Arabidopsis thaliana: one gene and its partner. The protein of the gene in region 2 interacts with the protein of the main gene of each other region in a pairwise test. Each region holds a gene or a part of one and is shown on either strand. Other genes may lie near its edges.

Evidence for each region.
Region 1: the proteins of NF-YB2 (region 2) and NF-YC7 interact in binary tests that used the Arabidopsis thaliana proteins (3 or more experiments, as listed by UniProt).

The regions. Positions count from the first base shown.
Region 1 is NC_003076.8:20,553,846-20,557,623, reverse strand, and holds NF-YC7 (nuclear factor Y, subunit C7), read left to right. Parts: upstream 1-1,865; coding exon 1,866-2,504; downstream 2,505-3,778. UniProt on the Arabidopsis thaliana protein: Stimulates the transcription of various genes by recognizing and binding to a CCAAT motif in promoters.
Region 2 is NC_003076.8:19,306,560-19,311,453, forward strand, and holds NF-YB2 (nuclear factor Y, subunit B2), read left to right. Parts: upstream 1-2,667; 5' UTR 2,668-2,854; coding exon 2,855-3,427; 3' UTR 3,428-3,713; downstream 3,714-4,894. Other genes in the region: mtACP3 (mitochondrial acyl carrier protein 3), read left to right, coding at 1-44, 138-326; AT5G47635 (Pollen Ole e 1 allergen and extensin family protein), read right to left, coding at 722-1,014, 1,089-1,290; NUDT2 (nudix hydrolase homolog 2), read right to left, coding at 3,832-4,020, 4,118-4,226, 4,299-4,333, 4,429-4,479, 4,558-4,635, 4,733-4,870. UniProt on the Arabidopsis thaliana protein: Component of the NF-Y/HAP transcription factor complex. The NF-Y complex stimulates the transcription of various genes by recognizing and binding to a CCAAT motif in promoters.

The DNA.
Region 1 (3,778 bases), 1.2 Mb from region 2:
TTTAATCGCTAAGTCCATCATATCCGGTTACTCTCCGCTTAATCGTTAAGTCCATTCTATCCATGATTAATGACTAATCCCTTAAAAAATCACTCATTCGATTACTCTCCTTCTAATCCGATTACAAATTAATTATTTTTTTAAAGTAATATTAAGGGCCCCATTTCATGTAAAAGTTTTTTTCTCCAAATATATTGGGCCATTTATTAGATATTTTCAGTCAAATTAATTTTTTTATAAAATATGGCCTTTTTAAAAAATAATTCAGAAAAAATCATGGAATCATGGGCTACTGCCCTTTTGCCCATCCTATTTGGGCCGAGCTTGTTATCATCAACCTCGACCCAATGGGTGAGTCGTAAGGTGTGAGGGTCAAGACTTTTTTTATTTTTGAAGTAAAATTGATATATAAAAAACCCATATTTTATAAAACAACTTATAATTAGCCCAAAATTATAGTTCAAAACCCCATTTTTTGTTTTAAAAATAATAAGCCTGATTTTGTTTTTTAAATAAAGCTTTTTATAGCAAAAACAAATTGGGTAACCTTACATCTCTAATTTTATTTGGGATGGGGCTGATTATCATCACAAGGACTATGCATAAATGTTTTCAATAACTCCATATCAATAAAAAATAATCTGGTTTGATTGCTTTTATCCAGCTAACTAAATTTCACACCAAATGTTGAACTCATCATTGTTTTTTCTAGATTTTGCATGATTCGTTTGTTCAAGTAATCAGGTTCGACTTTCGATTAAAGCCTAAAAATCTCATGAAACAAAGGTTTTAGGCAAAGAACTCTCTATATAAATATATAGGCGCATCATTTCATAAAAAGTTTATTTCCGAAAAGTTGATGGATATCCGCTTTAGGTGACCAGTTCGATCCTAATTTCCTAACTTTTGTAATTTCTTTTTAACAGGTGACGGCAAATTATGTTTGGACCGGCCCTAAAAGTAGTAATTATTTCCTTTAAAAATAATATCTAAGGTTAAGAGAAACATATTCTTTACATAAACAATATCTTTGGATGTTTAAATTTTAAGCTTGATATTTTAACGAACTTTGGCGCGAAAACCATCTATTCAAATATCTCTTTCCACCACTTGTGTTTTCATTGATTTGGAATTGTTATCTGCATTGAGATATCTTTGAATGATGAAACATGTTCCTTTGCTACCTTTAAATTAATGCTTCAGATTAGATCGGTCTCATGCACAAGACAAATTGACATACATATTTGCATCTTTGAAATGCTGACAATATTTGCAATCTCCTAAGAATGATAACACAAAGAAGCAGGCCAAGCATTGGATTTTAAGTACACAACTATAGCTTTTTCACTCGAAGCCAAAGTCACCTTATCTATGCGGAAACTCCACATACTTTCCATTGCGCATTAGAAAATTCTCAGTTTGGTATCTTCCCACTAATTACCACTCCAAGGCACCACTTATAGTTTTCTTCTTTGACTAATCAGATCTTGGGCACAAAACCATTGACGACATTCCTCATATGCTAGCTTTCACATACTTCCCTAAATTGGTTAGTATAAAATCCACCTTATCTAAAGCTATAGTTGACTAATAGCTTTCACCTTATCTAAATTTTATAAGTTTTAAAATTTATAAAATCCAAAAAGTATTGGTTAACAAAAATTTATAATGAATAGAAAGTGAGGTTTTGTATTTTGGGATTTCACATATATTAGTAAATATTGTATAACACAAAACAAAATATTAATAAAAAATAAATTTTATTTTTGAGAAAATAGTTGGGCTGATTTCGTAGCCCACTTAATCAGCCTTTAAATATGGAAACCCTAGCCTAGAAAGTGAACAAGAAAAACGTAAAGATCAAAATGGAAGAGAACAACGGCAACAACAACCACTACCTGCCGCAACCATCGTCTTCCCAACTGCCGCCGCCACCATTGTATTATCAATCAATGCCGTTGCCGTCATATTCACTGCCGCTGCCGTACTCACCGCAGATGCGGAATTATTGGATTGCGCAGATGGGAAACGCAACTGATGTTAAGCATCATGCGTTTCCACTAACCAGGATAAAGAAAATCATGAAGTCCAACCCGGAAGTGAACATGGTCACTGCAGAGGCTCCGGTCCTTATATCGAAGGCCTGTGAGATGCTCATTCTTGATCTCACAATGCGATCGTGGCTTCATACCGTGGAGGGCGGTCGCCAAACTCTCAAGAGATCCGATACGCTCACGAGATCCGATATCTCCGCCGCAACGACTCGTAGTTTCAAATTTACCTTCCTTGGCGACGTTGTCCCAAGAGACCCTTCCGTCGTTACCGATGATCCCGTGCTACATCCGGACGGTGAAGTACTTCCTCCGGGAACGGTGATAGGATATCCGGTGTTTGATTGTAATGGTGTGTACGCGTCACCGCCACAGATGCAGGAGTGGCCGGCGGTGCCTGGTGACGGAGAGGAGGCAGCTGGGGAAATTGGAGGAAGCAGCGGCGGTAATTGAAAAGTGTTGATTGGGTTTTAGGGTTGTAATGCTTTTGTGAGAATTTGTATCTCTATCGAGTCATGTTTGTTGTTGTTGTTGTTATTATGTTTTGCTTTCGTTAATGTCATGTGTTCTGTTGTTGTTGGTGTTATGTGTAGTCTTCCATGTGAAATATCACATAGAAGACTAAACATAACATCAACAACACCAAAACACATGGCATTAACGAAAGCAAATGGAAGACAATGGAATTTTAGTTAACTCTTATTTTCTTCTTTGCTTTAGATTAGTTTATGCCAAAGAATCACCAAAATATTCGCAGTTCATTACGAAAAAACACAATGAACTAGGCATAAATGTCAATTACCATAAAAAACATATACTACTAGCTCCATCTTCTAGTTATCCTTTATGAAAGTAGAAAATCCCCATGGCTCATGGTATTAATTTTGTATACGTTGTGAATATGTAGGCATCATGATCTTAGGATCTAGTAAGAGATCTTTTTGAATCCCGAATCTATGTTCGTAAATTTTCCAGCATTTTGATTTTAAAATGGATTTTCGCGTGAAAGTTATACTCCGGTTTTATTATGCAACGAAATTTTACTTGCAAACCGCTGATATATTATTCCAGTTTTCTCAATTTGGCATGAGTTGTTTCTCACATAGTATATTTCGTTTTCAAGATATGAACATCTAATGTGTAAAAGATCTATTGAAAATATAGTTGTGGAACACCTTGAAAATTGTTGTGGATAACAAGTGTTCGTAAAACAAACATTGTTCGTAACGACCAATTAGGAGCCACATAATAAAACCAAATATTTTCACTTCGTAATCATTAGATAAAAAAAAATCTTTGAATATTTACTTTTTTTTTAAGCAATAAATCTTTCTTCTTATGAAAAGATAGAAAACAATCTAGACAATTTAATTTTTAGAAGCAATAAATCCTTCTGTTTATGAAAAGGGTCCTCACTCTTATATATATACTTGGTTTCATTTTCTTTTTACTTTAAATGGCTACATTAAAGAGTAGCCAGAAAACATAAATAAAAACTCCAAAACACTACTTTCTCGGTTTTATATTATAAGTTGTTTTAGCCAAATTATTTTGATTCTTAACATAAGATGTTTTAGACAAATAATTCAAATTTCTATGCAAGCGTAGAATTTATATACTTTTATGACTATATATATATTATGCAGTAACGAATTTCATTGGCCAAACTCACTTTAATTAACTAAATATTAAATTATGTTTTTAATTTAGAAAAAATATATAAAAAG
Region 2 (4,894 bases):
TTATTGAACTGGTGAAGAAATACGACAAAACCAACACCTCTGAGGTTAGGGATTACAAAACTGCTGCTTTTTCTTTGTGTATAACCTTTTATTTTGGTGAATGGTTGTTTTGTAACACGGGGCTTGTTTACTTGCAGGTTACTGAAAGGGCTGATTTTCAGAAAGATTTGTCGTTGGACAGCTTGGACAAGACGGAGCTAGTTATGGCTATTGAAGAAGAGTTCTCGATTGAGATCCCTGATGAGAAAGCTGATAAGCTTACTTGTTGTGGTGATGTTGCAACATACATACTCTCTGAAACTCCTACCAAAGCGTCTGAGTCCTGAGTTGTATCTCTGCCTTTCTGTCTCTCTTGTTTTCAATGTTTAGTTAATGCAAGTTTAGAGACATGCTCTGTGTCAGTGTGTCTTTGCTTCAGCCAATATGATCATTTGGGTTTTTGCTGCTAAACATTTTATATGATATATATTCTAATGTGATCACACTACTTTTGTACCAAAAACATGGGAGCCTTTATATACATGATGCTTACAGTTGTTTGTTCTTACACTTTGGGAACATGAAACACAATGTAGAGAGACTCTAACTCGGTTCTGTGACTGGAGCGCCAGCTAAGCAAACGAGGACCATAACAAAAAAAATGCTTTTCACATGAAGGAACTTGAAGAATCAGCTGTTTGTGTTCAAATCTTTTGGTTGAAATGTTGTCTCAACGAGCTTGCTATGATCTCGAACTGTGGCCCTGTAACCTGATTTTCCCTGAGGTGTAGACACGGAAACCATTGGTAGAGGAAACAAGTTTGATAGGTTTGTGTATATTGGTAGAGGTGTTATAGCATCTATAGGGCCTAGGCACATATACTGGCTTGATGAAACAAGTGTTTTCAAGGTGTGGAATCGCATGGAGTTGGGAGGGAAGATCGATTTCAAACTCTCCCAATTCATCAGTAACAGCCTTAATCCATTTGGACCTCCTTTTGGATCCAGTGTGGCACTTGATGGCAACGGTGGCACCTGCGAGGATCATGTTAGTATATATTCGGACGGAAGACAAGAAACATGAAGAAAAAAGGTAGAGAAACAAATACCTGGGATAGGGATGGAGTGAAGGTGAGGACGTGAAGTGTCGCAGAGAAGAGATCCGGTGATCACGACAGAGGAGAGTTTCTGTTCACCGTAGCCAGCCATCTCCACCATTTCCGTTCTGGTCCATAAATTATTCCCAAATGCTCCGGTGAACAAGAAGAAAGAGAGTAACAAGAAGCAACGGATGATGAAGAAGCTTCCCATCGTTAAAAACAAAGAAAAGAGGTTTGTTTGTTTTTCTTTGTATTTTGTTAAAGAAATGAAAATAGCATGAATATATAGAGAAGAAGAAGGAAGCTAAAGAAGAGGAAGAGACCCTTTGCGTGGTGGCTTCAGGTCACACAGCTCTGTACGGCAGTGTCTCTCTTTATACCTTGTAGTAGCCTTTTTCTTTTCAGTTGTATCTTTTCTAAATATATTAAAAATCGTGGCTGACTTGTTAGGGTCAAATTTAGAGCTGAATCTTCCAAATGAAACAATGAACCGAGAGCGAAAGAGAAAGAGAGATACGGCACTTGGAAGCAATTACTGAGTGGTTCGCCTACTCTTTCACTCCTTGTATAAGTATTATTTTAATAATAATATTTGGTGCAACGTTTTTGTATCTAGTGTGACGTTTCTCCTTTTCTTTATTTAATTAAGCCAATTCAGTTAGAGTAGTCATGCAGTAACCAAAAGATTCAAGCCTACCCTCAACTATACTCGCACACATTCAGCTTTGAACACAACGGCTTCAACATCGTGGGTTTGGTCGTGTCTACGTGCTCAGAATATCTAGTTGATGGTGGGAGTCAGCAGGGTTTTGACCAAACCACAGTTTCTCAAGTCCTCATTACATTGAAAAAAGTATGGGCTTAAAAGAAGCCTAGATATTGATAATAGGTCCATCACCTTTAATGGGCCATTCAGTTTGATTATCTTAACGGCCCATTAGGATTCTCCAGGTGGGACAAGTATTAGCTATGTCATTAAGAGCTTAATACAGCTGGAAGCTGGTGATTATTGTTAATGTTAACTAATCACACGCTTAGAAAAGCGACAATGGTTGGACCCACAGGAGAAGATCGAGACCGTCAAAAGTGGACAAAACTGGGACGCTTTTTGTTTCCAAACAGCTGTCTGATCTGATTGGTCGATGCAGTTTTGATGGCAATGAACCCCACCACAGACCACACCCTCATGATCCAACCCAATTCGCTCGTAACACAAAAAAAAAAAGAAGTGAAAAATTGACCGAAGGGTCGTTGAGTGGCAGTTACCCTCTGTCTCCCTAACGCCCACCTATCTTCTCCGTGTTTTCCACGCGCTATCTTTCTCTCTTCTGTGTGTTTACCACGCTCCTCTTATGCGCGTCGGCTCGTGACAAAAGTGTGCCGGGTCCACTAACTGTCCACAACACGTGGCAAAGCCTTAAAGGGCTGTCTATCTCTCAAACAAGATCAATTCCAATCCGACGGTCGAGCACGTATCCAGTTGTCAGAATCTTATCAGTAAACGGACGGTTCATATAAGATCACGTGTCAAGTGAGCAGAAGTCGTGCGTCCTCTCTTTATATAAGCTCCGGCGACTCCTTCACCACTGTGTACAATACCAGCCGACACTTAACAATTCACACCTGCTCTTTTTACTCTTTCTAAAACCCTAAATTTTCTCGCTTCAGTCTTCCCACTCAAGTCAACCACCAATTGAATTCGATTTCGAATCATTGATGGAAATGATTTGAAAAAAGAGTAAAGTTTATTTTTTTATTCCTTGTAATTTTCAGAAATGGGGGATTCCGACAGGGATTCCGGTGGAGGGCAAAACGGGAACAACCAGAACGGACAGTCCTCCTTGTCTCCAAGAGAGCAAGACAGGTTCTTGCCGATCGCTAACGTCAGCCGGATCATGAAGAAGGCCTTGCCCGCCAACGCCAAGATCTCTAAAGATGCCAAAGAGACGATGCAGGAGTGTGTCTCCGAGTTCATCAGCTTCGTCACCGGAGAAGCATCTGATAAGTGTCAGAAGGAGAAGAGGAAGACGATCAACGGAGACGATTTGCTCTGGGCTATGACTACTCTAGGTTTTGAGGATTATGTTGAGCCATTGAAAGTTTACTTGCAGAGGTTTAGGGAGATCGAAGGGGAGAGGACTGGACTAGGGAGGCCACAGACTGGTGGTGAGGTCGGAGAGCATCAGAGAGATGCTGTCGGAGATGGCGGTGGGTTCTACGGTGGTGGTGGTGGGATGCAGTATCACCAACATCATCAGTTTCTTCACCAGCAGAACCATATGTATGGAGCCACAGGTGGCGGTAGCGACAGTGGAGGTGGAGCTGCCTCCGGTAGGACAAGGACTTAACAAAGATTGGTGAAGTGGATCTCTCTCTGTATATAGATACATAAATACATGTATACACATGCCTATTTTTACGACCCATATAAGGTATCTATCATGTGATAGAACGAACATTGGTGTTGGTGATGTAAAATCAGATGTGCATTAAGGGTTTAGATTTTGAGGCTGTGTAAAGAAGATCAAGTGTGCTTGTTGAACAATAGGATTCACTAACGAATCTGCTTCATTGAATCTTGTATGTAACTAAAGCCATTGTATTGAATGCAAATGTTTTCATTTGGGATGCTTTTATGTTTTGGTGAGAGTTATGTAGTGATTCAAGTGTCAAAATGCTTACATAGAGAGGCAGCAAAGAAACCAGCTTCGTTAGAATCTGTGAGGAAAGCTCTGTTTGTTGAGAAAGAAGGTCAATTGCGCGAATGTAAGTCGCGGGTGTTGTAGTACAAGTTGCCTTGTTGATCAGGTGCAGAGACGCGGAGAGGAGTGAAGCCTTCGTAGTCTCCGTTGGTTTTAGCAGAGCAAATGTCTGTCATATACCTCAATAGCTCATAATTTTGTACAAATGGTTGATTTATGTATTCCTCCCAAGGCATCCACTGCACCAAATTCCCATTTTCAGAAAGAGAAGAGGTTTATGAGTGTTTTAGTGGATGAGACTGGAGAGTCGTTGAAGTGAGGAGCAAAAACTGTTACCTGAGCTGCCTCAATCTCTGACTCCTGTGCGTTGATCTCCAAAGAAAGGGGCTTTAACATGCACACGAAGAACAAATCTGACTTTCCAAAGAACGCTTTGTGTGTTTGTCTGCCAGAATTTTAAAACAGACGAGAATCAGTTATGTTGCAATATAGAAGATTATGCAGTTGGAGTTGCTACCTGAAGGCCAATATTTGGTCGAATTCTGTATCCACCTGAAAACATACGATGCAGAAGAGTGGGATTAGCTCTTGGTCTCATGTAAACTGTAAAGAGGACAGTGAAAAGTTGAGGCATGAAGAAGCCTTACTCCGGTCTCTTCTTTCACCTCTCTGACTGAGCCATCATGAATGTCTTCACCCTGACTCAACACAAACACAAAAAGGCGAATCAGAGAGCTGAACCTAACCATGTAATGAGCTTTAATAAGAACCAGCACCTCATTCACAACTCCGGTGGGGAACTTCCAGATACCTTGACCTTGAAATCTCCCTGTCTTCTCTTGAACCACCAGCACCTTTGGATTCAAATACAGAAAAGAAAAGAGATGTGATCCATTCTTGGAGATGTTCCAAAAAGACACACTAAAAATCTCATCTCATCAGTAATCAAACCTCTTTGTTGTGGTTAATGACAAAGGCACCTATGCCAACACGGTGAGATGCATTGGCAGGAAGCGTATCGTCTTCTTTGGGAATCCAATAGACAAGCATCAAGTAGTCTTTCTCCGCGTGGTGAAACCAGAATCCCTCCTACACATAATACACAACCAGTAA